Lytechinus pictus: one gene and its partners. The protein of the gene in region 1 purifies or fractionates together with the protein of each later gene. This does not show direct contact. Links are inferred from orthologs where the notes say so. Each region holds a gene or a part of one and is shown in the gene's direction. Other genes may lie near its edges.

What was found.
Region 2: the proteins of casein kinase II subunit beta (region 1) and FACT complex subunit SSRP1-like fractionate together in Homo sapiens (co-fractionation; 5 studies listed by BioGRID and IntAct, with this or other methods). This does not show direct contact. The link is inferred for Lytechinus pictus from reciprocal best matches to the Homo sapiens genes CSNK2B and SSRP1.
Region 3: the proteins of casein kinase II subunit beta (region 1) and cyclin-dependent kinase 11B-like purify together in Homo sapiens (co-immunoprecipitation; 3 studies listed by BioGRID and IntAct, with this or other methods). This does not show direct contact. The link is inferred for Lytechinus pictus from reciprocal best matches to the Homo sapiens genes CSNK2B and CDK11B.
Region 4: the proteins of casein kinase II subunit beta (region 1) and eukaryotic translation initiation factor 3 subunit J-like purify together in Homo sapiens (co-immunoprecipitation; 3 studies listed by BioGRID and IntAct, with this or other methods). This does not show direct contact. The link is inferred for Lytechinus pictus from reciprocal best matches to the Homo sapiens genes CSNK2B and EIF3J.

What each region holds. Positions count from the first base shown.
Region 1 is NC_087259.1:826,658-833,492, reverse strand, and holds the start of casein kinase II subunit beta, read left to right. Parts: upstream 1-3,825; 5' UTR 3,826-3,916; intron 3,917-6,333; exon of another isoform or gene 6,334-6,400; intron 6,401-6,835. UniProt on the Homo sapiens protein: Regulatory subunit of casein kinase II/CK2.
Region 2 is NC_087246.1:34,904,799-34,911,950, reverse strand, and holds the start of FACT complex subunit SSRP1-like, read left to right. Parts: upstream 1-4,152; 5' UTR 4,153-4,258; intron 4,259-7,152. UniProt on the Homo sapiens protein: Component of the FACT complex, a general chromatin factor that acts to reorganize nucleosomes. The FACT complex is involved in multiple processes that require DNA as a template such as mRNA elongation, DNA replication and DNA repair.
Region 3 is NC_087258.1:23,329,601-23,337,359, reverse strand, and holds the start of cyclin-dependent kinase 11B-like, read left to right. Parts: upstream 1-4,742; 5' UTR 4,743-4,837; intron 4,838-5,050; exon of another isoform or gene 5,051-5,170; intron 5,171-7,759. UniProt on the Homo sapiens protein: Plays multiple roles in cell cycle progression, cytokinesis and apoptosis. Involved in pre-mRNA splicing in a kinase activity-dependent manner. Isoform 7 may act as a negative regulator of normal cell cycle progression.
Region 4 is NC_087249.1:11,752,642-11,760,616, forward strand, and holds the start of eukaryotic translation initiation factor 3 subunit J-like, read left to right. Parts: upstream 1-4,970; 5' UTR 4,971-5,039; coding exon 5,040-5,052; intron 5,053-5,172; coding exon 5,173-5,261; intron 5,262-6,582; coding exon 6,583-6,676; intron 6,677-7,334; coding exon 7,335-7,426; intron 7,427-7,975. UniProt on the Homo sapiens protein: Component of the eukaryotic translation initiation factor 3 (eIF-3) complex, which is required for several steps in the initiation of protein synthesis.

The sequences.
Region 1 (6,835 bases):
TTATAGCAAATATCATGTCATATATTTTTTTCATTCATCTCATTTCGCTGCCTCCTTTATTTTCTTTTATTTCCCCTTGGCTGTGGAACCACCCCCGGTACGCAAGTGCTTCAATGTAAAGCTTAATGCAGGAAGGGTCCATATATGGGCCCGTTATAGAACCCATTAAAGGTTACAGATGAAGAGCCCCCACTGCACGGGGTCTTGAGTCTTGGACAGAGCCTTTGGAGATTTAGCAAGTTTATGATAGACTTTCATACGACATTATGCTATATACCATTCATTTTTCTTCCCGCTCGTTATCTCAATCCTCGGCAGCCCGGTAGTGTACGTTATCTTGTCCCTATTCTTTATTTTCCAATTTAGATTTTGGCTAATTCCATTCTGCCTTTATTTCCCGCTTTTGTTTGCCTTTTTGTCATCTTTAATTTATTTCCCTGTCTTACTAATCATGCTAATGTATTTGTATATCGGGGCGAATTGTTTTTTCTCACTTGTTCTTTTTTCCTTCCTTTTCCCGTTATCTTTCCGTTTTCCCTTTTTCATGTTTTTTCTTAGTTTTCTTTTCCCTTTCCCTTTCCTCCTTTCCTTTTCCTTCCCCTTTCTTTCTCCCTCCTTTTTTTCTTTTTCCCGTTTTTCTTTTATTTTCCCGGTGAAATCCGCCAGGGGGGGGGGGGGGGGGCAACTTGTCATAATTTACTTACCCACTTGCCAATTTGAAATCTACATATAAAGTCTCAGGGATCTTAATTTTAAAGCAGCCATAACTTTATTTTTGCTTGTCCGATTTCTTTCAAACTTTCACCATTCTCTCTATTTTTATAATCCTTGTCATTAACCGAACATTTCATAACCAAGGCTGGATTCCCCTTTAACATTGAATATGAATCTTTACCCAAAATGAATATTTGTGCCAACTTTTATGAGCACGGGCTGAAAACTGAGAAGTAGTTTAATCTACAATGTGGTAAACATGGCAACACACTGTCTGACAAATGCAAAAAAAAAGAAGGTTCTTGCAAATCTTTACCCCAAGGCCAATGTGTGAGCAAATTTCATGAGAATTAATTGGTTCAAAACTGACGAAGTTCAAATCGCAAGGTTTTTACCAACTTTTTGCCATATAATGTGTTGTTACCATGGCAACAAGATTTCTGAAAGACACAAAAAATGTGTCTTAGACATCTTCACCTCAAGACCAATGTGTGTACCAAATTTCATGAGAATCGGTTGAAAACAGAGGAAGTATAGTTCTAACTGCAAGATTTTTTTACCTTATTTTATCATAATACACTGTTACCATGGCAACACAATTTCCAACACATGCAAAAAATGTGTCTTGTATACGTCTTTACCCCAAGACCAAAATATGTACATACACAGCACCAACATTTAACCCCCTCCACCACCCTAAGCTTCAGCTTGTTTATGCATCTGCATTCAGACACTTGGTGCATTGATATGTCAATTCACCACCTCATTATTTGCGCTATGATTACAATGATATTTCTTAAAGAATTATTTTTGTCTGCTTCAATATACAGTGCATATATCTCTTCCCCCTCTTTTCTCCTCTGTTTAGTTGGACCTTACCTCCAGAACAGTTATATTAAGGCTGCGTTTATGCGACCTCAAGTCAGAATCATGATTTGAATCATGATCTGAATCATGATTCAAAACACAAACATGAATCACAATATCACAGAATCAGCGTTTAGACGACCTTCATTCCAATGCTGTTTCTCCTCAGATTCGGGCCAATCCAGTGCGCATCACACTAGTGCGCAGTTTGACAGAGGAAGTTTTTCGCACGTGTTTCGGCTCTCGAAAAATCTTTTGCTTCCAGAATTCAGTCTATACCTCATTTTGTTTATTTCTATCATATACTTTATAGGTTCCATATGCTTCTATTCATCTTGTTAGTTTTTCCAAAATGGTGTTCGGAAGTGAATTTCAGCGTAGATCCAATTAATGTTGATACTGTATACTCAACAACAATTGAGATCATTGTCTGTCCAGTTAATTCATTTTCTAGAACTTGAAGTTGAAGACATGACCAAAAAATGAAAAGTAGTGGACGATGCGATGACCAACACAGAACTTGAACATGACAAGAAATGCATGCGTAGTACATAATCATACAATGAGCATATAAGAGCGCCTTGAGCTTGGCAAGAGTCAAATCGAAAGTAGCCCGACACAACAGTGAGGTCATAGAATCATGATTGTAATCACGATATCGTTTATTCGAACATTTTCGTACGTGATTCTGCAGAAACGTCTTTCCAAATGCCCCTTTTTTCGTGTTTCATGTTTGTGATTCTAATCATGATTATATTCAATTTCGACTAAACGCAATCGTGATTCTGCAGAATCATGATTTGAATCATGATTCAGATCATGATTCTAGGGTAAAAAAAGTGGCGGATAAACGCATCCTAAATTAATTTTTGCCATTACACTTTTCCTGTAATTTGATATGCTTGCCATATTACTTAAATAATTACATGTACTTTGTATATTTCATTCTATGATGTGCATCCAACAATTGTGTTTGCTTTATTGTAATTTGATTCAATTATCTGTCAGTAAGGATTTAGTATATAGTTAAATCTTTTTTCTTTTTTTTCAATTAATATTTCAGAATAATGCTCAAAAGTAGTACAGGCTGATCCTTTATATCCATTTGGTACAGTTGATTTTTTTAAATTCCTCTTTAGCAAAACTGCTGGGGCACATAAAAACCTAAGAATCTCGATATCATTACTATATTTTTTTAATTATTATTATTACTACGCAGTTCTTAATTTCTCTACTTTTTCTTCATCAAAGGAGGCGAGTTTCCTGTAATTTTACTATTTGTTGTCTCTATGATTGTTATGTATTAGGTGCTGGAGCCTGGCGAGTAGGCCTACGTCATTAATAGGAATGTGGAGGCATGCTAGCTCTTGCTGTTGTCTAGGGTATTCCTCCTTATTACATTTCATTGTTGCTTTTCGGGCTCTGGTACCTCACACAAATTTAAGTTATTTTTGTGTTTTTTATGTTAAGCATTACACACATTCCTTAATCAGTCCGGCATGGGTATTCAAATTCTTCCCAATACCCCTCTTTATTTCTTTTATCTTGCCTGGCGTTACATACTTTTTAAAATGATGTTGTCAATGTGTTTTATTTGAATTTTAATAATGTGCAATTTTATATATTGAATGTGCAATACTCTCTCAACGGTTTTTCCATGAGGGCTCGCATGCCTCTGGGCAATAAATAGTACTGAATTTTACTTTTGCGAGCCCTGGCCCATGGAAAAACCGTTTTCTTACTCTTTTCTTCTTCTCTTTCATTTCTACTTTATCCATATTTCATTATTCAATTTCAAATTGTATTTATGTAACTACATTGTACAATTTTTGTATGTTTTTTATGGCCAAATAAATAATAATAATAATAACAAACAGAATATTTAAACATAATATCTGTTAAAAAAAGGTTTGAATTTTAGAACTAAGCGGATGCAAAATAATGCACTGCTATTGAGTTTTACACTGACACTAGTCTTTATATTAGAACACTTTAAACTCATAAATTCTGACATTTTCACCCATATTTTTCACTAAACAGTTCCTGCAGCCAGATTTTTTGGAGCATACTCTATTTTTAATTCTTATCCATAAACAAAGGTCTGGAGAAAAAACATGCTTTTGTCTACCATGTCATTTGGCCCCGTGGGAGCAAATAAGAGCATATTACTAGTATATACTTCCGGATATATTACCGGTATGCATGCAGCATATGATCGATCGATCGCGCGCGCGCGCGCGCAGCGCAGAAACAGATATAAATGCAAGACGTTTGCTGCATGGCGGATGTATCGCTACTCTCCCATCAAGGAATTCATTATTTATAAAGGTTAAAGGTACGGCATGTTAACAAGTTTATTGAGATTGACACTGGTTCTACATGTAGCCCATTATTATTAATGAAGTTGTGAAGTAAAGACCGGAAAATCTTCCGGAGAAATCCTTCATTTCCGTACCTGATCATGCTGATGTGATGTGATGTGATACCGTAACTCATATTTTTGGACAGTGCTTAGCCTTAACGTACGCGGTACGGTACCGGTTCGTACGGTACGGTACGGTAGTCGGTACCTCTCTCTAATACATAGTACCGGTACGGTAGGTGATCCAAGCCAGGAGGCTTAAGTTCTAGAGAGTAAAAATCATTTACTGACGTAGGCTTACTCTCAATGAAGCCAGGTTCTCATTCACCTACACGAAGGACCCCAAAACCTAAAACTTTTACCCCCGAGATTTCTACTTTCCTTCTAGTTCTAATAGTACCGTAATAGGGCCTACTATAGTATAGGCCTACTTAGTAATGCCAATGGATCTAGCCCTAAGGCTAAATCATGATGTACCGTAGCCGTAGGCGTAGGCCTTTACTGCGGCAGCCCGAAAACGTAGGACGTCGTGTCGAGGTTCCCGGGGCAACGTAGGCCTATGCCTGTGCCTGTGGCAGTGAGTCCAAACAGTAGAGGCGCACGGCCAATATGGGAGACTCTCCAATACTAAAAATAGGGGAGACAATCTCCCACATTGACATTGGAGACTTGCTTTGCAAAAGGACAAAAGAAACAACACCAACAAAAGCATGATTTTTTCCACCCAAAATTTTGTGTCACTGAGGTCAGAAGCCCATTTGTTTTGTGTGTGATTGACAACAAAAATCCTTATCAAAACAAAATTAGACGGTGAAATTTTAAAGTAGACGGTGAAAAGGAGTAATTTTTTATGAGGAATCTGCAACACACCAGTGTGTTGGCTCAGTTGGTAGAGCGTCCGTCTCACAACCGGGAGGTCGAGGGTTCAAACCCTGGCCGCGTCAGACCAAAAGACGTAAAAAGATGGGAGTTGCTGCTACCCTGTTTGGCGTTCAACGAGTAAAGGGAAAGAGCCTCGTCGATCTGGCGCTGCACAGCGGCTGCCGGGCCCACGATCAATTGGGCAAAGCAAATTTTCAGAGCATTTCATGTCATGTCTATTTTCGAACAATAAATTATGGATTTTCATTTCATTTCATTTTTTTTCTTATCACATTTTTATTTGCCGCCAAGGTAATCCTTTTGGAGCAAATGTAAACAAAGGAAATTGGTCTCCAAAACTGGAGACTGTCTCTGAAATTGGATACCCAAATTCTTTACAAAAGTCTCTGATATTGGAGATAATCTCCCACATTAGAGACAGTCTCCAATATTGGCTGTGCGCCTCTACTGCCAAACTTCGCGCGTGTCCATACTTCGCGGACGGTCATTATCTAAAAAACTAGCCAATATCCTTAAAATCTGACGTAATCAACGTGAAAAGCGACCTAAAATTACCCTTTGGTGTAAGTTTCTTTAGGATGAGTTCAGTATTCATGAAAATATTGGCAAAAGATCGGCAAATTTGTCACCGTTAGCGCCCACTTTGAAGAAATCTGATATTCTCAACAAGCATCACGATATCACCATTTTGCAAGCAGAAATCATCAAAAATGTGAGTTAAATGTGGTACTAACCGATTCTATAGCATTTTGCCATCAATCTGATATAAATATTTCACTTTTTGAGCTTGAGTTTTTGTTTAAATGTCCACAAAGACTTTGGTCCACGAAATTAGGTCACACTTTTTCTGAACGGTTTTCCAGCACAGCGCGCATTCGCCGATCGGAATAGAATTTTGAGATCGCGATACCGGCGAATCCCCTTGACCTACTTTACATTTTCATCCATGATTTTATCTTGCCGTCAATGTGGTTACTATTTCTTGAATTGGTTTTGTATAAATTATGAATATTTTGTGAAAACATTTAAGCCTGATGAATATTTTTGAAAAGTGCGCGAAGTATAAGTTTGGACACCCCATCATACATAGGATAAAAACTTCATTTCCGACATTTCTACGCTTGTTATTTTTAAACAAGAATCCATCAAAAAAATGAGAAAAATATTGTGAAAAGACGGAAGAGACTTGCGTAATGTTGGCGAAGAACAATAGGAAACAAGATGGCGGCGTAAACATCGGGCAAGTCTCTTCCGTCTTTTCACAATATTTTTCTCATTTTTTTGATGAATTCTTGTTTAAAAATAAAGAGAGCGTAGAAATGTCGGAAATGAAGTTTTTATCCCATGTACATGATTTAGGGCTAGATCTTTTATTTTTTTTAGAAGGAAAGTAGAAATCTCGGGGGTGAAAGTTTCAGGTTTTGGGGTCCTTCGTGTAGGTGAATGAGAAGGAAGACCTGGCTTCATTGAGAGTAAGCCTACGTTAGTAAATGATTTTTACTCTCTAGAAGCCTCCTGGCTAGGTGATCCCTCCATTGGAGATTCTCAGAGACAAATAGATCAATTCCCAGTCCGGTAAGTTAGAGATTCAACATCAAGTTGGAGCGGTGGTCATGAATTTTATGTACATTCGTACTGCAGCTGCACTGCACTGGCAGTGCATGTGCAGAATATCGAACCGGTCTAGTCATCATGTATTGTAATACCGGACAGTCATGGACAGTAGTACCGTAATCATGTCAGTGCTCGGCCTCGGACAGGTAAAGGTTTTTGATGACTTCGTAGTCTCCTTGAACCTTGAAGAAGTATGATGGGGTGACCATAATTTGCGCACATTTTAGAAATCATCATGAAGTTGATTTTCATTCAAAAATTTCTCACAGCTCACACAAAATTAATCAAAATCATGAATACCAAACGGAAGGCAAGATCCTAAAGTCAAATTTGCTTGACGGAATTATAAAGTAGGACAAGGGTTTCGCTGGTATTGTGATTTCACAATTCCACGGC
Region 2 (7,152 bases), on another chromosome or scaffold:
CCCTTTGAACACTTTTATCTTACTAATGGTGTGAAATATGAAAAGCTTCTAACAAATTATACTCAAATATTCAAATCATATATTTTCTGAAATGGTTTCTTTCCAAAGGTAATGAAAACTTTCAGTAAAGTTTTAGTTAGATTTAGCTCTTGATCAAAATCAAGTAATATCATAATTATTATCAAGCAGAAATTTTAAATTTTTTTGCCGAAATAGCAGACACAAAACTTCTCTTAAAAAGTCACCAATGGTGAGTCCTGAAGTAATACTTGGAGATATTACACCTCTAATTATTTCTAAGAGGCCTAATATTGTTTTAAATTGGCTTGGAGAACCAATGAATTTGAATTAGAGTCCTATTCCCATAGCTGACCCTTGTCCATTAACCCATGTCTACCCATCATAATCCTACTCTTAACAGTGCAGCAAGTCCTTCACTTGCTTTGATTGATTTATTTCTGTTTCTTTGACTTCATTTTTTATTGTTTTCCAACAAAATACAATTATTTTGACATTGTAGCATGAGCAGGAGGGAAAAAGATCTGAGGTGAAGAGTGATATTCAGGGGTGGATCCAGTGTCACTTATGCTCCCCCCCCCCCCCCCTCTTGACCTCTTTTTAGGGGTACTTTTGACTCTTTTTGTACACCACTAAGAATGTATTTGGAGTCATCATTTTCTTATAGAAATAAAAACAAAAATCAGTGAGGAATTTGCAGGAGACTGCTATTGTTAACTTCAATGTATGGTGATCTCCTATATAAAAATATTCAGGTGGCATCTTCTTGACTATTCATAACTGATGATCTCTAGATTGATGCATGTGTATGTGAAAGAGACAACTACTGTGAATTTGTGTAAGGGAATTTGAGTATTAGGTGTAGATCATATTTTTTTAAGACATGGCTTTCAGGGAGTATATGTGTAAGTAGATACATTGGTGAATCCATTGTCTGGGGGCACAGGTCCCTAGAGAAAAAATCTGAAATTTAGACAAAGTACAAAAAAAAAGTGTGTGAACATAATTTGTTGGGCCATGATTTTGAAGTTGAAATTGACATTGCCTCTGTTGACAGAAAGTTTATTCAATTTAAACCAGCTTGATACATTAACAATTCCAGCATTCAAAATTTGTAATGAACGAGGATCTTTGTGAAATTAGAAGATATTCAAATTATCAGAACCAAAAAAAAGTGAAGCTCCGTAATGTCATTAGATGAGGAATAAAAGTGGTCCTAAAATGGGGCCCTTTGGCACACTGCATTGGGGGTAGAAGAGAGTCTGAACTAGGTCCATGTGATATTGTCCATTTGATGAGTATAGACATAATCTAGAGAGCAAAGTAAACTGTTGTGATGGGTTGTTATGAAATGCCTTGTTCAAGTAGAAGAATATTCCAATTATGTGTCCTTCATTTAAAGTGACAGCTCTAATTTTATCATTTTTATTTGAAATTATGTTCTGTTGAATCATTTTTTTTCTTGAAAATATGTTTATTCAAATAAGTATATTATAACAATGAATATACAGTGTGCTAAAAAGTTAGTGAACCCCAACAGAAATTGAACATATATTATAGTGTTCAGTTTTGCCATGTTTTAGACATTTACTTGTGAAGTCAGTTGATAAAATATTACATTCAGTAAAGTTTGTTTCTCTGGACTCTCGGGATAATGTAGTGCAGTCTACATTCAACACTCAGCATGAAAGAGTGCATTTTCTGGTGGGGTTCACTAACTTTTTGACACCACTGTATTGCATTTAAGTTTATTGTAGACCATTATTGATCAGAATTTTGGACAATGGGAAGTAAAGAAATGTACAGTTTTGATTAGTCATCCTTTTTTTAAATGGCCTTGACTCTATCAAGTTATTTTGAGATAGATCTGGTTGGCACCATGAAATAAAGAGTGGTTAGAAATATTGGTTACAGTTATATCAAGCAGGTAAATTATTTCTTTTGTGACCAAAAACTTGTAAAATCTGAATTAGTTTGTTATTTCACTTGCAATACTTGTTATATGTTATTAATTATTGTCAGATTTATGGCATATATATGTATTTTGTAAATACAGTCATATTTTTTGTATTGATATCAATAAACCTTTTGTTATCAAAGGATTCTTGAATTTGTTTCTCTTGTGTGTTATTCTACCTACAAGGAACTTTTTCTTGTAACATAAATAATTGAACTTTATGACATTTTATAATTTTGCTAGATTCACAAAACAGATATATTACAAATGAGGGAATCAATGACGTCCTGAGTGACCCACTCACTATTTGTTTCTTTTGTATTAAATCTGAAATATTTTAATGTTTTCCCCATTGCGATGTGAAATAACTGAAGGTTTGATTCCTCCCTGGACATGTGGAATTGCAAGTTTTGCAATCTTTTGAAGACTTTCTCATGTGTCAAATCCGCAAAGCTTTTTAAAAAGATAACTAGGTTCATAAAATACAAAAGAAAATAATACTATGTGACATTATTGGTTCTGTCATTTGGATAACATGCCAAAATAAGCAGAAAATTTTAAAATTTTGTGACTTTCATTTTGTAATCCGTTTTTGATAAAAATTTTATGAATTTCTGGTTGTTGGATTTTTTTCAGAATCTATTTCAAATCAACTTTTGGTGACATGATTGCGATGGACATGACCTTTAATTTATCCTTTCCACTGATAGTCCTTTTATTATGCATGTTTGAAAATCTATTAACAATCTGGGATAATGAATCTGGACTTGCGGTCTGGTATGCTCGTTGAGAAGATGAAAAAAAGATCATAAAAAGATTATATTATTTAATACAATCATGTGGATAAATGCTGCCAGGCAATTAGTCAAGCCTCTTGTGTTAGACACAGATTTTTAAACCTGATATAAACGACGTTTGAAGTTAAATTATAATATGAGCCAGGAAGTCCCCCCCCCCCCCCCGCCCTTGCCCTTCTAAGTTGCAATTTTTAGAATATACTCCAAAGCATTGCAAACTAAGTGATTAAAAAGGGGTAGGATATAGTAAATTTTGGCTAGCGTGATGTGAATTAATAAAAATAATATTGAAGAAGCATTATCTGGAATTAAAATATACCATTCATAATTCCTTTTCTGTTTTACTGCTACCCCCTGATATTTTCTTCATGTTCTCTTATAATTTAATATAAATTATTATCCTTTTCTTTTTCAAATTCTCATTTTCCTTCTTTCTTTATATACCTGTAATCACCCACTAGTCATCTACTCAACCCATTTCTTACTTTACTCTCTGTTCTGGTTGATTCTCCTGTATACCTTCCCCCCTCCTTTCTCTTTTCCTCCTTATTATATTTTCCTTATTCTTTGGGTTTTTTCCCCTCCCACCCCACCCCCTTGCCTTCTCTTTCTCCTCATCCTCTTAATATTTTCTCCCATCTTCCCCATTCTCTTTCTTTTCCTCCTTTCTCGTACTTTTCTTTTTTTTTCTTCTCCTCCACCTTTTTCTCCTTTCCTGTACTTGGGACTTTTCCATTCTTTTCTTCTTCTTCTCATCCTTATTCTTCTTCCTCCTTTCTTTACTTTTCTTTGCTGTCCTTTAGACCCCTTTTAACGCCTGTCCTGCCGTTCCTGTAAGCATATCTTTTTCATTGACCAACCTGTTCTCCCCATTCCTATAAAGCGCCTCTTCCTAGCCGCCATTACGATTGGCGGCGGAAGCCAAAAAAATTAGGGGGGACGCAGGAAACAAAATTAACAAGGCCCCCCCCCCAAAAAAAAAAAAAAGTTATCAACCAAAAATTTTAGGGGGAACCACCTAAATTTTTTGACAAAAAAAAAAGTTATCAACAAAAGATTTAGGGGGACCGTCCCCCACCTCAAATTTAGGGGGAAAGGACCCCCCCCCCCCCCCCGCTTCCGCCGCCTATGGCCATCACTCCCAATCCTTCCAAGTTTCCAAGCACCTCCAATCATCACATTGATTTTGTAAAAAGGTATAATCTTTTGAAAAGAAAAAGAGAAATATGAAGCAACCAAACTTGGGCTTACGTAAATAGGGGATTTAAATCTGGTAGAAATATCGAGATGGGGACCAAATTGATTGGACTCCGTGTCCCGACTCGTGTGTAAAGTCGATCGACTCGAGTCAACGATTCGGGATTTCCCCTTTACCCCGGCACGACTAGAGAGGGCGACAATGACTTTCGCGCATGTTCCAATTTTTCCCGCGACATGATTAGGTTACTGTTCTGCAAATGCATGACATATTAGTAGGCGGCAAGTAGTAAGAATTCCAAAAATTTTCTGTAGAATCTGATTTTTTGTGCTTATCCCCCTATTTTTAGGGTGCTGAATACGAATCTGCTTGTTGCCAAATTTATAAATGCCGTCTTGGACCGTTGCCATGGCAACGGATTAATTTCTCAAAAATTGCATGTATCCCCCTGTAAATGGTAGATAAACATGATATAAATTAGCCAATAGATTGATTTCAGGGTTCCAATTAAATACAAATGAAATTCGAAAATATTTAAGATCATCAAATTGGTTCCAATTGGCCCGTTGCCATGGTAACTGCTCATTTTTCCTCCAGAAAAGTAAAAATTTTGATTTACAGTTGTAGAATCTGTTTTTTTTTTCATTTTCCCGGCGTTTAGGGTGTTAAACATAGGAGTGGTTTTTGCTTAATGTATAAATACACTCTCATTCCATTGCCATGGCAACCAAATAATACCTAATTTGGTAAAAAAAGAAATAACATGGTAAAAAAAAACAATGGCGAGAAATACAATAAAGGCGACCTACATGTAATCTACATGCATTGGATTTTTCCCACTCATTTAGAATAAAAACTACATAAGTGTTATGCATGAGTTTATTGGAATGGTAGGAATTGATGTTGCCTTGAGAATGCTTGAATTTAAAGATAAATATCAATATTGCAAATGGCCCGTTGCCATGGTAACATCTTATTTTTATCAGAAAAGAACACATTTTGATAAAAACATATAGAGTCACATTTTTTTCGTTCATTTCCGCTAAGTTTAGGTTGCTAAAAATAAATATGCTTGTTGGTAAATATGTAAGTACCATCTCAGACCATTGCCATGGCAACCAAATACCAACTTATTTGGTAAAAAATAACATGTTGAAAAAGGTAATGGTGGGATGTACAGTAAAAACGAACTAATCTACATGACCAAAACCAAAATTACGTAATTATTCTGCATGAATTCATTAGAATGATAAAAATTGATGTTTCCTTGGGAACGCTTGATTTTATTAATAAATATCAATGTTGCAAATTGCCTATTGTCATGGTAACGGCTCAGACCAGAAAAGTTTTAATAAAAATATGTAGAGTCCGATTTTTCTTTCATTTCCGCCAAAGTATACACGTAGGTTGCTAAACATTGATATTATTGTTGCTGCTGCTTTGGTAGTGTATAAAATAATTTAATTTTATATGATAAATATCAATGTTGCAAATGGCCTGATGCCGTGGTAAACATCACTCCTCGCAAAGTTCCCTTCTGCAGACTTTCAACCTGAAGAAAGTAAACTGAGCAGTTTGCCATAGATCTGGATACATATCTTCAGAACCTCCCTGCACTCCCTACTCATTACGACACATTTTTAGAGCTGCTGAAGAAATCATCAAGGAAGAATATTCCACAAGAATGCCGTACAAGCTATATTCAGGACCGGCAGAAACACCATGCAGATTCGGATCCTTGGGAAAGACTCTACAAAGTCCCAATCTAGGTCCCAAGTTACCGCCGGCCAAGTGGCCACCAGCTTCTAGTGAACAACCAAGGTAACCCTCATAATCACCCGCGAAGATCCAACCTAAAAGTGTGCGGACAGCCTGCCAAGAGTCATCTGAGTTCACAAGACCTTTCAGCATGAACGACTTGTGCAATGCTATCAAGCAATGAAGATCAGCAAGGCAGCTGGATTGGATGATGTCCTCGATCTGTGAGCAGATGAAACATCTTGGACCTGTTGCAATCCAACGGCTGCTTGACATGCTAAACTTCTGTCTGAGTGAAAGCACAATGCCAAACTTATGGAGGAAATCAAGGGTAGTTGCCTTACTCAAGCCAGGCAAAAGACCAGCCATTGCAAAGAGCTACCGGCCCATATCTCTGCTTTGTCACACATACAAGATCTTTGAAAGGCTCCTACTCAACCACATTGCTCCCTTGGTGAATGAGCTCCTCATTCCAGAACAGGCAGGATTTAGGCCGGAAAGTCCTGTACTAGTCAACTGCTGAATCTGGCACAGTGCATTGAAGATGGTGGCTTCGAGAAAGGGTTGATAACTGGAGCAGCCTTTGTTGACCTCATTGCAGCTTATGACACAATCATCGAATACTCACAAGGTAAGTCTTTGAGATGACAAAGGAAGGCTTTAGCTAACACAGATGATTCAGAGCATGCTCTCAAATCAGCAGTTTTTGTGCATCTCAGTGGTTTCAGTAGCAGATGGCTGACACAGAAAAGGTCTCCCACAAGGAAGAATCATCGTCCCACTCTTTAGCATCTACACAAATGACCAACCAATCCACCAAATAGTGAGAGCTACCTGTACGCTGATGACATTTGCATTGCTTCACAGAAACAGTCCTCTGAAGAGATGAAAAAGCACTCAGCAATGCTCTGGTAGGCATGACTCCTTACTACGCTGCAAATCATCTCTGGGAAAATCCAGAAAAAACCCAACTCAGTGCTTTTCACCTAAAAAACAGAGATGCAGACCAATAACTAAGGTTCAGATGGTATAGAAAATGGTTGGAACACACCAGTAAGCCAATCTACCTTGACGTCACCCTAGACAGTTCCCTTACCTACAAAGACCATGTTTCCAAGACAAAGGCTAAAGTTGGAGCAAGGAACAGCATCCTGAAGAAGCTTGCCAACATAAAATGGGAACAGATGCCAAAACCATCCGTGCGACAGCTCTTGCTCTATGCTACTAGACTGCTGAGTATGCAGTCCCCATCCGTTTTAGGTCATCACATGCTGCAAAGATTGATACAGCCCTGAATGCTGCTTGCAGAGCAATTACTGGCTGCGACAAAACAAGAGCAGATGATCTCTACCTACTGTGTGGTATTGCCCATTCACACATCAGAAGATAGGTGTCAGCAAAGGTGGAAAAACGAGCAAGAAGAT
Region 3 (7,759 bases), on another chromosome or scaffold:
AAAATAAAACATTATTTTGGGACGAGATGACCTTACTTTTGGAATAATAACCTTTTTTTTTTATTGTCAAATTTTCCAACCCCTTGTCCCCATAGGCGGATCCAGGGGCCCGGACCCCCCCCCTATATTGCTTGAAATAAAGCTGAAATTGACTCTTTTTTTCAGATCGGAATATCAACGTTTCATGATTAAAGATGTATTTAGAATGCCTAGATTATAGGTCTAAATAAGAAACACGCGCGCATGTTTATATTTAAATCATTATCCAGTTTCACTAAAAAAAAATCACAAAAAAAAAAATTCTGCTCGCGCTTTGTGCTCGCATAATTATTGTAGGAAGACCCCCTATACTCATCCTTTTCATGATTTACAAAACATCAACAGAGTGGCCCATTTTTAGGTCTAAATCTCGATTTTTTTTTTGCTCGCACTTCGCGCTCGCAATAATTGTTAGATGATATAGCTATCCTGTTCACGACTACAAAAATTGATTAAAATTTTCCATTCTTTCTTTAGAAATTTCAAAAATTTTCAGCTCGCGCTTCGCGCTCGCATTTTTTGATTGTTAAAATATGTAATGCCTTCATGGCTAAGTGCAAGCAGTCCTTAAAGGTCAAGTCCACCTCTGAAAAATGTTGATTTGAATAAATAGAGAAAAATCAGACAAGCACAATGCTGAAAATTTCATCAAAATCGGATGTAAAATAAGAAAGTTATGACATTTCAAAGTTTCACTTATTTTTAACAAAATAGTTATATGAACGAGCCAGTTACATCCAAATGAGAGAGTCGGTGATGTCATTCACTCACTATATCTTTTGTTTTTTATTGTTTGAATTATACAATATTTCAATTTTTACGAATTTGATGATTAGGACCTCCCTGCCTGAAGCACAAAATATTAAAATAATGGAATTCCACGTGTTCAGGGAGGAATGAAACTTCATTTCACATGACAATGATGAGAAAATCAAAATATTTGATATAAAATACAAAAGAAATAGTGAGTGAGTGATGTCATCAGTTCCCTCACTGATTTGCATACCGACCGATATGTGCATATAACTGTACGTTTTCAACCGCGTAGCCAGGATTTCATTTTGGAGGGGGCGGTAAATGCACGCGAAGCGTGCCAACACTTACAGAGCGCGCGAAGCGCGCTCCCTAGGGGGTGGGTGCAGGGAGGGGGAGTTTCCCCCTCTCGCGCGAAGCGCGAAGCTTTTGGTGTTTCATAAATTAAAATGAAAAGGAACCGTCTCTCTTGTCTCTAGTACCTATATCAGCTCCAATTCAGTTGACTTTATTGTGATTTTGAACTTGTTTTTAAAAGTGATTGTGAACGCACAAAAAGGAATACAATGGAGGAAATTAAAATCATTATAACCCCGCGCGAAGCGCGGAAGCTAAAGCGTTTTATCAAATTTTTTTGCCATGAAAAGGGTCCCGAGAAAAGGGTATTCTCAAAGATATATTGAATACTTCCTTGGAAATATCAGATTTGATTACAAACAATTTAGCGACAGTGCATATCTTTAACTCGCAAAACAGAGGAGAAGAAGTGTATATGCCGGGAGGAAGATATTCCTCCCCGCGCAGAGCAATAAAACTCTGAAATTTCAAAGGGCGGACGTTTCATCAAATGCAGATATATCTAATACCCCATCGGCTCTAATTCAATTGATTTCCTAAGATTATTGAACTTCATTACAAGGAAAATAGTGCGCAAAAAGTTGAAACTTCTGTGATTTATTAAAATAATATAAAAAAGGATGCCTAATTTCTTTGACTTATCCTGAAGCGCTTCATTTTTAATTATAAAGAAACCTAAGTGTCATTCAAAATTTCAAACTGAGGGCGCAAAACAGGACAGGAGATGAATGTGCAGGGAAATAACATGAAGATTAATAGAATTTGAAAAAAAATATTGTACTTTTTTATTTAATACGACACGAATTTTATACATTCCTCTTCAATTAGGAACCTGTTTGCCCCAAATTATGGTTGTTTAGTAATGACCTGAAAAGCGGGAGAAGTTGACTTTACGGCAGAAATTGATATAAAGATTTTACCCGCCCGGAGCCGACCCGACCAGAAGTTGCGCGATCAATAAAAAAAAAGATAACTTCATATACTTCGGCCTAACCTTACTCTAATTCCATGCCCTAATCTATACATTTGAACTTTAACTGGCAAGAAACACATATAGCTGAGGTGGAAAAGCAGAGTTAGAGAAAGGGTGGGGGAAACAATGGAGAACTTCAATATTGTCATTTAACCGCGCGCAGCGCGGAAGCAAAATTCATATATAAATTTAAAGCAAGAGTGAAGGAGTTTCTCTTTTGAGAAAAAAAATAAAGAATAAAAAGAAAAAAAAACCGACAAAGCTACCTTTCTTCCCTTTCCTCCCTTCCCTTTTCCTTTTTTTCCTCTTTTTCCCTTTTTTTTCTTTTTGGGGACGTTTTTTTTTGGGGGGGCGACCGCCCCCACCGCCCCCCCCTGGCTACGCGCCTGACTGTTTTGTGAAATGAAGCGAAACTTTAAAATGTCATAACTTTCTTATTTTACATCCGATTTTGATGAAATTTTCAGTGTTATGCTTGTTGAATTTTTATCTTTTTATTCAAATCAAGTTTTTGTTGGGGTGGAATTGTCCTTTAACAGGTACTTTTTCAACAGGTACCAGTTCAAAACGTATAAAAAAAATTTCTGCTCGCGCATTGCGCTTGCATCATTAATACTAATCCTTTTCATGATTTACAAAACATGAATAGAGTGTCCCGTTAAGTAAATAGTATAGCTAGGACTAAATCTCGAAATTTTCCGCTCGCGCTTTGCGCTCGCATCAATTGTCTACTTATATCACTATTCTACTCGAGTTACAAAAAGTGCTTAGAATTTCCATTCTTTAGGTGAAAATGTAAAAAAAAATTCAGCTCGCGCTTCGCGCTCGCATTATTAGATTATTAAATGCTAAATGCAAGCAATCTTTAACTGGTATATTTTCCATCAGTTCATTTCTGCTCGCGCTTTGCGTTCGTAGTAATTATTTAGTTGCATACACATCTTTTTCAGGATAACAAACATTGCCCAGAATGTTCAAATTTTAGGAAAAATACATAAAATTTCAACAACAACAAAATTAGCTCGCGCTTCGCGCTCGCATCATATGAATAAGGATTATGATATTGTAAATTAATTTATAAGAATAAAGCTAAGAGGTGAATAATGAGGACTACCCCTTCAAAGACACAAACAAAAATCATCTTCGAGCTGCCGATCGGGGAAAAATATGGCTGAAACAAATTTCCGCCCCCCTATTGGCGAAGGCTGGATCCGCACCTGCGTCCCCCTATACCTTTTGGGAGAGATTTCCGCCCCTGTCATCATCATCATCGTTGTATGACATCGTTGCTTGAATTGGATCATAAAGAAATGATGAGAATCGGGGAATGCTTTCCCGCTTTGCAGGGGCCTGCATGGGAATTATAAGACTAAAGTTCACCCTGATTTGCTTGAAAAGAAAGAAAGAAACCCAAAAAAGAAAGATAGGCCTATATAGATAGAAAGAAAAAAATAAAGATAGAAAAAGAAAGATAGAAAAAGAAAAAAAAGGAAGGAAGGAAGGAGGAAGGAAGGAAGGAAGGAAGGAAGGAAGGAAGGAAGAAAGAAAGAAAGCCGAGGTTCATTTCACCCGAAAAGGATTATTTTGTCTGGGGGAAAAAAAAAAGTTTACTAACTGAGATCGAAGAAAAAGGGTTTTAGATCATAACTTTACATTTTAGCCGACCAAGCTAATTTCCAAGGGGTGCTGCGTTTGATGTGTAACACCTTTTAGTATATCCGCTTGCAGCAATACCATAAAATCATAGTTCTTGAGGTCAGCCAGTAATAGGCCCTACTATCTCACAGGGGCGGATCCAGGAGTTTTCAAAGGGGCCGGGGGGGGGCACATTTTCCCTCAAATTAAAAAAAGTTAAACAAAATAAAGGTATTCACTGTCAAATGGGGGGGGGGGCACATCTTTTTAACGGCAATTTTACATTAAAAATCCCTCTCAAGGAGGGGGGGGGGTGAATTGCCCCCTGGATCCGCCAGTGATATACGGTTTTTCAAATCCAAACATAAAGGATTACAACGGGGATTACAATAATGTAATGCACAATTTTTTTTTACAAATTATCGAACATAAGTTACAATGATAAGTTAACATTTCTAACAATAAACAGAGTCACAAATTAAACAAAACCAAAACAAAAGGAGAAACATGACAAAACAAATCAAATGCAGGAAACTTCAACTACATGCTGTCAGAAACCGTTTCATCAGATAATATAACGAGGATGATATTTATTAGCAATGTGGAACACGGGGGGGGGGGCTTCTTTTTTTTGGAGCAAGAAAAGAAAATGACCCTTTTATTAGATTGAAAGTCATTGATTAATCAATGACTTTTATGCACATTCAAATAATTCGGGCTATAAGTAAATAAAATTATTTTTCTCTGATAAATTTTTCCAGTGGTCGTGGAACTTTTTGGAGATGATAAAAAACATCTGTTTATTGCCCACTCCGCTTATTCGTAATATCTACATCTAATTTGAACTTTCGGAAGCCAGTTGTGCATGCACCCCCCTCCCCGAGATAACGGATTAATTCCGCCCCAGGAACAGATTTAGGCATCCTCACGATCACAGAACCTTATCCGCCAATTTACATTTTTTTTTGCTACACTCTCGAACAATAGATGGCGCTTTATCACGAGATTCATCAATCAATCGAATCGTTTTCTCTTGTTGCGTTGCTGTCCCTTATTGGCTTTGCTGTCGCGTACGCTTGGGTAAGATCTTTGATTTGATTTGATTTTAAAAATGTAGGAAGACCTAGGTTGATATGACTATTTCACAATAAGTTATGTTGTGATTACTGATGATTGTGAAAGAAAAGACCGTGGCTTTTTTTTTAAATTAAAAACACTCAACCGACACTGAAATTGAATTGATGGGACCAGAGGCATGAGAGGCAGGACTGATGCACTCACACAGTCACAGTCACTCTAGGCGACACCCCAATACTTACCCGTGCTAATAAACTGGGACTCCACTCACGCGCGTTTGGGCCTCCCTAGCTTAGAACTAAGCACTAATATCACCTTAAAAACTAAATCTACAAGGTATGTATAATCTATTTACAAATTTAATAATGTTTAATCGGTACTCACCGGTTCTTTTGTTGCATTTTCAGACCATTTCTCACAATTCTTCGTAAATATTTGCGGCAAATTTTGTCGCCATAGACAGCTTAGCGTCCATCTTTATTGATAAATGGAGCGCCCTTTACGATAGTTGTTAATGCCGCGGAGAAATCGTTAGGCATTTTGGCCTGTGTTCAAGGCGTTCTTTCTGTTTTATTTTTTATATTGAAGATTGTGCATTTGTTGAATAGCGCCGTCTACGTCAGGTATGAGATCGAGTGTATAAATACACTCTTCCAAAATAATTATGATTCCGACCTGGCGCTGTTTAACTTCAATCTCTTTCACCTAAATTAGCGATGAATGCTAGCATTATAAAATATATATTATTAACGTCTGACGAAAAGAATAACCAACCGATCAGCTGACGAGAACGCGAATCACGTGATCTTCATATCAGCTTCGATCGCGAGTCAGAAGAAAAGAGCAGCTGCCCAGAAAATCAGGAAAAAGCCGTGAAAATGTAAGTTCCCCTTCATTTCTTTCATTTTTTGTTGTTGCTAACGATGCATTTACACTATAAAATTATAATTTAAATAAGAGAAAGGAATTATAGCTTGTACTTGTGATATAATGTTTAAATATCCTGTTCTCAGAGATTTCTAACCAAAAATACTACTGATGTCGCCTATGAGGTCCATACATGTAATGTTGGACCTCATTGGTACTAGGAGTGGTCACAGTCACACACGTATTGCGACTTGCGAGGTTACTAACCTCGCACCATGAACCGCGTTTGGCAGTGGATTTCTAACTAGTGGGTCGGGCGTGCTGAGCCTGGGACGGTGGGACCCCACTTCATAGACCCGTAACACAAAGCTTAGCAATGATCGTAGACGTAGAACATTTTCCTACGATTGATTCCATCGACTACAATGTCAATCACTCAATGTATCTGGGGAGGCGCGATAGCTCAGTCGGTAGAGCGGGGGTTTCGGATTCCGGTGACCCGGGTTCGATTCCCAAGTGGTGCGCTAGTGCCCTTTGGTAAGGCATTTATCCTCATTACCAGGTCCCTCGGAGAGGACCTTAAGCCGTTGGTCCACTGGTTGCTTGCTCACAGGCATTCGTGCTTTCTTAGCAGTCAGGTATAACCTCGGTATAACTAGGGACTACAACATAACATAATCATATTCGTAAAATTAAAATCAAGTGTACGATCAATCGCTAACTGAAAGTTTTGTGTTTCGGGCCGGGGGGGGGGGGGGCACTCGACCAAAAAAGTGGTAGGGGTGTGCCGCGGGCGAGACAAAAAACGGGGGCCTTGGAGCGGGCTTATTGTAAAAAGGAGGGTCCTCGGAACGGGCTTCGGAACTACAAATGTTTGTGAAAACGGGGGTCCTTGGAACGGATCGCCAGCGTGTGAGTGCGTATGCATCCCTGTGGAACGGGCATGCGTGCATGATGCAGCTAGCACGGCCTCCGCCGGGTGCGCTTGCGCAGAGGCGATGGTCGGACAGCGCTCTGCGGCCGCTTTTCACCAAAATTGCAGCTCCTTGTAGCAGATCAATGCGACGGGAACGGCGTAACGAAAAATATGCGAAGCTTTGGAGCGGATTTCTTTCTTCTTTTTTCTCAATAAGAAGAAAATGCTATGCTTTGGAGCGGCTTTCTTTGTTCTTTTTCTCAAGAAGACAAAAATGCTATGCCTTGGAACGGAAATTTGAGTGTAAAAATGGGGGTCCCCTCTGCGGCACATACCCACTATGCATTATATAGGCCTACTGAGTGCCCCCCCCCCGGGTTACGGGACCCTGGTGTCCACCACACACGACAACTATAGCTTGATTTTTCTGTGCGCGGCGGCATGTAATGAACCCTTGGGTGGGACTGATAAGCTGAGCTTAACGTTAGAAATATATTTCTTGGGAAAAAACCTCAGCCAGTCATTTTCAGATTGAAAAAAAAAATGGTGCCCCATGTCTGCGCACCCATTCACTTCACTGTTCACACACGATTCAGGGATTTTGGCAAGAGTTCCATATCATATCAGTACAGTAGAGGCGCTGGTCCAAAAATTGGGATTGTCCCAGAAAACAAAGATATCCTCATTAACCAGGAGAAATCATGTCTTGATAAACTGAGATTGTCCTTGTTTATGGGGACAGTTTTTTTTTCACTTACGCCTGCGGGACATAGACGGCAAGTACGGGGATGGAGAGGGCTAAAATTAGATTCAGTGACCTCAGTTCCCTCCAGTTCACCGTCTATTTTTCACGACTTGCCGTCTTCCAATCTTGTAATGAAACCTGATATGTTTACATTGACTAGCGCACTCAATTGATGTTGGCACTCGACCACTCACAAGTTTTGCGAGGTTAGTATTAGTATACTAACACTCGACAGGTGAATGAACTTTCATAGATTTCTTGTGTGGAGAAATCTTTGAGGTAAGAGTTCCATATGCACATGCACCTAGCCTGGAGGCTCCTGGAGAGTAAAAATAAGTCTACTACATGTATACGTAGGCTTACTCCCCTGGAGCCTGGAATTGCTTTCCATACGGCT
Region 4 (7,975 bases), on another chromosome or scaffold:
AATTCATCCCCTTCGCTACATGTGCTTATAGATGTTGCCCCCAGGGATCAACCGGTGAAACACCCAACATGTTAATGTTAGGGCGAGAAACAACCATGCCTATGGACTGGGATCTCCCTCCTCCCGAGACCGCCGAATATGATGACCAGACAGACTACAGTGCCAGGCTCCGGAATCGTCTAGAAAGAGCTCACAAGGTAGCAAGAGAATCCTTGAAGACAGCGAGTCGTCGGCAGAAGTCGTTCTACGACAGGAAGGTGCATACAGCTCTTTATGCTGTGGGACAATTTGTATGGCTACGAAAGAAAACCAGAGAAAAGGGCCGCTGCCCGAAACTGCAACCACGATGGCTTGGCCCTTACCTAGTTGTTACTCGCCTGTCAGATGTCACAGTTAGGATTCAACAGTCACGGAGGTCTAAACCACTGGTCGTACACATTGACAGGCTGAAGCCCTATCAAGGCGTAAGGCTTCCCACTTGGGAATTCAGACCCGCTGGAGAAGACTTGGTCCCGGAGAATTCAGCGGATGAAGAATCAGGACAAAGTTCGCCAAGTAGTGCCAACAGGCATGACACAACCGACCCACCAGACCAGACGCCAGCAGGTGAAGACGCATCTGATAGACCAGAAGATGACACGTTAACAACTGACCATGATACTGAAAGTTCCCCAGAAGACGTTATGCCAGATGTTGATGTGCCTGGAGATCCACCAGACAGAAGCCATGCCGCAGATGATACCCTTGCAGGTGAACCACATGAAGCTTCGGCGGACGACCACACTTTGGAAAGCTCCTCAGGAGACAATCCACCCAATGACGATGTACCTGGAGAGCCACCAGACAACAGTCCAGCAGACGCAACAGATGGAGCAACAGCAGGGGGTACAACTAATGAACAATTACCCACTGCTACAGGAGAAACCACACCTGAAAAAGAAACTTCAGCCAGACGGTATCCCTCCCGTGACAGACGACCTGCTACATACCTGCGGGATTATTTTGTGACATGAGTTTCCTACAACTTTAACCAGGACTAAGTTACCAGTTCTGAAGGATACATGATAATGAACTCAATTGCAATCTTCAAGTTTTTTTACGGATACCGGACGTCAAAAATATTGACTTTTGTGGACTTTAATCAATGCATAATTTCAGTGTTGCTTTGCATTGTATAAAAACAGTTGTACTGAATTACCTGTTACAAGAAACTATATGACAAAGTCTTTATTGTGTTTCGAAACTTAAAGTTGAAATTATGTTGTTTTGGAGTTTTTCGTTACCTTCTGTTTAGTAGTTGACAGTTTGTTATTAATTAGCTTGGGGACCAAGCTCGAGAGAGGAGGGAGTCGTGTAACGAACTATGTTTCCGATTTAATGTCATAGAGAGCTTATAGGGTCTGTAAACGTAGACTATGTGGAAATCGTATGTGTAGACGTTCTATGATTTAACGAAAATTAGCAAAAATCGCACATTTTATAAACATGTTGGAGTTGTCATGAAACCTTTTGATTAATTTATTATTAGCAAAGTTGCCTAAGCATTATCCAGTTGTTTTATTCGAGAAAGCTGGTTGATTAGCAAAGTTAATTAGGTTATTGTAGTTGTTGAAGTCATCTTTAGTAACTGTTTTATCGAAGTGTTAAAAAATGCATAAATACGAGGAGTCGATGAGCATTAAGGACGATTTGTGTTACGGCCCTTTACCGTAGTGCAAATGCTGCCCTTCATCTCTTGTATATCATTTTGCTCTGTACAATGATTTATCTTTGAGAAATTAAAGGTAAAGATATCAAGCATTGAACCTACACTCTAGACTACGTTCTTATGAGTGTTAGGGTGCGTTTATCCGCCACTTTTTTACCCTAGAATCATGATCTGAATCATGATTCAAATCATGATTCTGCAGAATCACGATTGCGTTTAGTCGAAATTGAATATAATCATGATTAGAATCACAAACATGAAACACGATAAAAGGGGCGTTTGGAAAGACGTTTCTGCAGAATCACGTACGAAAATGTTCGAATAAACGATATCGTGATTACAATCATGATTCTATGACCTCACTGTTGTGTCGGGCTACTTTCGGTTTGACTCTTGCCAAGCTCAAGGCGCTCTATATGCTCATTGTATGTACATGATTACGTACTACGCATGCATTTCTTGTCATGTTCAAGTTCTGTGTTGGTCATCGCATCGTCCACTACTTTTCATTTTTTGGTCATGTCTTCAACTTCAAGTTCTAGTAAATGAATTAACTGGACAGACAATGATCTCAGTTGTTGTTGAGTATACAGTATCAATATTAAATTGGATCTACGCTGAAATTCACTTCCAAACACCATTTTGGATAAACTAACGAGATGAATAGAAACATATGGACCCTATATGATAGAAGTAAACAAAATGAGGTATAGACTGAATTCTGGAAGCAAAAGATTTTTCGAGAGCAAAAACACGTGCGAAAAACTTCCTCTGTCAAACTGCGCACTAGTGATGCGCACTGGATTGGCCCGAATCTGAGGAGAAACAGCATTGGAATGAAGGTCGTCTAAACGCTGATTCTGTGATATTGTGATTCATGTTTTTGTTTTGAATCATGATTCAAATCATGATTCTGGCTTGAGGTCGCATAAACGCAGCCTTATAAAGGAACAAATGATTGGTGTACGGAACGAATGTTGGTGACTGAATGGTCGACGGATGTCCGATTGACTGAAATGAGACGAGAGAGGTGATCGATTGCAATCGACGGATGATCTGACTGGAGAAACCAGAGACGACGGTTGGTGATGGTTGTTAATCAGTCTTTTCCATAAACCATCAGCAACGGTCATATACTTTGACCAAACGAACGCAACTGACGGTCAGGCACGGTGGCATCCTGACAAGAAAACCGTGTCAGCTGAAGGTTGGATTAGAGGCCGTTATACTTTCTGGCCAATTCACGAGTCGTACACAATAAACCGCCGGCAGAAAAGGCGTGCAGAAAAAAAATGGAAAAAGCGATTTCGTAATTTTCCCGCGCGGAAGCAAAATTTTTGTATGAAAAAAAAAAAATAATGAAAAACCATGTGTACCCCTTCCCCCTTTTTCTTCTTTCACTTTCCCATTCTTTGTTTCTTTTTGGGTTACTAAATATTCTTATCCCATCAACCTACTCCACCCCCCGACTCAGTAAGTACTATTTCCCCCTTTATTACATGCGCTGAGATATAAATAAAAAAAATCCTACACCAAAGATTGCAATTCATATTAACTCGTGCAAGGTGAAAATTAAACTGATCTCAATCCCCCGGGGGGGGGGGGGGGGCACTTACATTGACGAGTGGATACCATGCGCGACCAAAAAAACACGCAAAAAGGGTGTCTTTTTCAAGATAGGGCACGTTACGTACGTAACGTGATAAGGGTGTCAAAAACACAAAAATATTGAAAAAAGGGTATCTATTTCGCTCGGAAAAATATACGTGTTTAGGGTCAAATATGCGGGGATGATAAAACAAAATCAAAATGTTCTATAAAGGATGTCATTTTTGCCCCAACACTACGTGTTTAGAGTCCGATTTGCGCGAGGTGTGGAAGGTGGGGCCGTACTAAACCAAAATTATGGTGTCTAAAGGTAAAACCGACGACCGACGGACGCGTGACATATAACAATAAAATATCTATGTACTTGTTTAGGGGTTCATTTCAGCATGGACCTATTACGAATAGGTCCATGATTTCAGGGAATACTTGCTAATAGTATCGTTTTGTTTCCAATACTTGTTAAGGGGTGCATTTTCAGAATATGGAAAATACGTGTTTAGTGTGCTTTTCAAGACCCCGTGGTCGCGCATGGTATCCACTCGTCAATGGAAGTGGCCCCCCCCCCCTGGTCTCAATCACAACACCCTCAACTGCAATTTCCAAAGGACCCCGCTAAGGAATTGCCTCTCAAAAACTGAAAGAAACATGTAATTCCTGCTCAGCCTTAGTCATATACCCTTTGTTAAATGGGCAATGCTCACCCTAAGTAGGAATAGTTTTCCAATTATTTTGTATCCAGGGTTTGGCTCATCTTTCTTCAATTACAATTACAATTGGGTAATTGTAGAAAATAATGTTCAATTAGTTTTCACTTACAATCAGCAATTACTTTTGTCAATTACATTTACAATTTCAATTACTTTCTATAAAAGTCATGAATAAAATCAATTTGTACTCTGTATGTACTACTAGCACCACCTATTTCAACATACTTTATAAGTTACAGAGAAACTGACAAGATGAAGGTTTATGTTAAAGAGCACAGATTCTGCCTATTACACTCTTTGATGCTGAAAAAAAGTTGACATGAAAAATGTCATACATGAAATCAAATAATAAATTGAATAAGTTTATTGTCAAGTAATTGAATGTAATTAAAAGTAATGACAGTATTTCAAGTCAATTACATTTTTTTCAATCACTTTCCCTTTCAAAATTTCAAATACAATTTAAAAAAAATGTAATTAATTACCTAATTGATCAATTATATTGTGATTGAGCCCAACCCTGTTGGTAACATTATTTTGAAAGTTGAGTTTATTGGCTTTTATAACTTAAATAAATATAAATAAATAAGTAAAGATATATAAATTCTTGCTCGTATCCTGCCAATGGTTACAAAAGTCTAAAGTCTAAGTTCATGAAAAAACATAAAATTCAGCTCGCACTTCGCGCTCACATTATTTTCTTTAGTACGACCCGCCACGACCTAATTCGGTAACGTTAGGCGTAATGTATTCAATTACAGTCTTTATGAATAATGCCCTCAGATTTTAGCTTTACAAGCAATCGAGAGGGAAAATGTACATTTTGTTAGCACCCCCTCTATATTGGAAAATGGTAGATCAAATCCGCCCCTGCGGGGGGGGGGGGGGGGGGAGTTTCTCCCGGCCCACACAAATTGCTCTCAGGCAAGTCATCGCACCCATCGCATTCACGCGCGTAAGCTCGCATTATAGCGCGCTCGCAGCTAGCTAGCCTCGCACCCGCCCAATATGTAAATATGGCCGACTGGGGTGAGTAACATGTGCAGTGACATATGTCAGAAAATTATAGTGAAATATTGATTTGAGTAATTCCAGTGCAAAATAGTACATTTATTTCTTACATTTATCTTATGATTCTTTTTTAATCAGAGGACGACGATTTTGATCCTGATGCGGGTTTCGCCAAGGCGACTGCCGGTGATAAATGGGAAGGAGAGGATGAGGAAGAAGATGTGAAGGTGAGATTTTGCTTAGCCCCACTCCTTTTGACTTGTGTTGTGTATGTGTCGGAGTGCATTTTATTTTAGTGGCGAGTTTGAAACAGTGTCACTCAGTGGCTTTAATTTTATTTCTTTTACTTATATATAGAATCACATCACTACGCCAATTTGATTAGTTTAATTGTATGTTTATATGTATATGATCTTTTAGTTTTATCCTTTTTTTATACATTTTTGGGACCTCAAAATAAAAGGTTGAAAAAAGTCATGAATTTTTTTGGGGAGAAAAGCTGCAGAGTCGAGAGTATTATAATGACAATGTTAGCCAGAATTTCAAATTCAAGCACCATTGACTTGTACAAAATCCACAGATGTTTAACGTTAGGCCCTAACCAAAATTTTAGGTTTAACTTAGAGTTAGACTTCGTACTTTTAGTAAATAGTAGACTAATAGATTAAGCTGGCTTGGCTTGGAGTTGGATATAATTTGCAATATCGAGACTGCAATAAACAGTAGAGGCGCACGGGCACGGCCAATTATGGGAGACTATCTCCCACGAGAGAGATTATCTCCAATATCAGAGACTTTTGTAAAGAATTTGAGAATCCAATTTTAGAGTCTGGGAGACCAATTTCCTTCGTTTACATTTGCTGCCAAAGGATTACGTTGCGTTTGTGGCAAATAAAAATGTTCCTCATGAAAAATTACCCCTTTTCACCCACTACTTTAAAAATTCAGTCTAATTTTGTTTTAATAAGGATTTTTGTTGTCATCCACACACAAAACAAACGGGCTTTGATTCTGACCTCAGTGAGACAAAATTTTGGGTGGAAAAAATTATGCTTTTGTTGGTGTTGTTTTGTTCTTTTGCAAAGCAAGTCTGCAATATAGGAGATTGTCTCCCGTATTGGAGAGTCTCCCATATTGGCTGTGCGCTTCTACTGATAAACAGTAGATTCTAATCTAGATCTAAAAAAGTGACTAAGTTTACTCAAAGTTTCTTCTTAAAAGAAAATTATAATATCACTGGAAATTCATTGAATTGAATTTATTTAAACCAGTAAAAAAAAAAAAAACGCGGTGCTGACTTTCTAAAAATGTACCCCCTGTGTATGCGTCATTGTCGACCAATGAGGTCAGTGCTGTAGGATTGGCCTTCTTTGCCACAGGCACCAACTTATGAAATTCAAGAAAATAAAACCCCAAAAGTAATGGAAAATTTATTGATTTTTTGTTGTTGTTGCACAATTCAGTCATGGATAGTAATCGTGTCTAATGAGGTCTAACTTGGTCTTGGAAGAACAGAAATTGAAGCTGATTATTATTTTTGTTTTCTAGGATGACTGGGCTGCATCAGATGAGGAGGAGGAGAAAGAGGAGAAAAAGGAGGCAGGTTCTACAGAGCAGACAGCGACTTCTGGAGATGGAGGAGGTAACTTATCAGGCTATGTCAGCCAATAATCCCACCAATCCTCAAAATTGTTAAAAATCCTACTTAGGATATCAGAAAAAATATAGAGAAATGCGGAGATATCGAATTTGTAAAGGATGAAGCCTTTTAGAACACTTGCTTCTGCTGTCAATTGCTTTTGGTATAAGTCTGAGGTTAAAGCTCTATGCTGCACCGTCGCAAATGGCACTGGTTGAAGTTCTGCTCTTGTTGGCTAATAGTCAAATTATTCATTCATTTCTAATCTTTATAACAAAAGCTTATTATACTGTTGAAATCGGACCAGACAGTGAATTTTGACAATGAAAACAACAATCTTTGCTAAATTTTCACTTGGTCTGGCAGATATAATGGGAGCTTGGTATAATGATACAAATTTCAATCTCTTCAAAGTCTTAACCAGTTCATTTCTCGATACTAAGTTCACTGCCACATCTTGTAATTTGAGGGTAAAATGCTCTTGATGTTAATGAATTTTGCTGTCCCTCTTGAAGCATTGTTATTATAATTGTATTTTTTTTTCAGCAGTTTATAACTTGGAAGAAAGATGATTTAGACATTTTGAAATTTGAATGTTGTGTTTATTATGGTCACACAATGGTCGTTAGTGATTATAATGAGTTATTTATATATTCCACAGCATTTCAAGTCAAAAAGAAGAAGAACAATTTAGAAAAAGCATTGCAAAGGAAAGCTGAAAAGAGGAAAGAGAAGCTAAAGGAAGCTGAAAAGGTAAATATTGCATGGATTCTCGCGCTCTCTCTTTATCTCCTGCCATATTCAGATTGAATTCTTTTTACCAACTCCAATGTATACGATTGTATTCACTTGACCAATTGACTTATATGGTCTAATTCCCAGATTGTCTAACACCATCTTGGCTATACCTATTTGGTCTACTACTGATTAGTCCAACCATCTCTGGGTCTTTCAAATGATCTAACCAGCCAATGGGGGCGTTGCACGAAACTTGTGATCAATTGCAAGTCTATTTCCAGTCCTTAAAATAATCCTATGTCTTACAATTAATTGTAAATATGCAATCTGCTTCTTAAATCCTAAATTTTGAAATTAATAGCGAATTTGTAATTGATTGCTAATCTGTCTCGAAACAAGCAGTGTAATCTGATTTGCTGCAGCTAAAATTGATAAATCACTTGTGAATTACAAAAGAATATTAGCAATTACTTGGAAATATTTTTTTTGCAATATCCCCTAGGTCTGTTATTTGGTTGGATGCCCTGGGGGGTGTTTCACAAAGATTTAAGTATGACTTAAGTC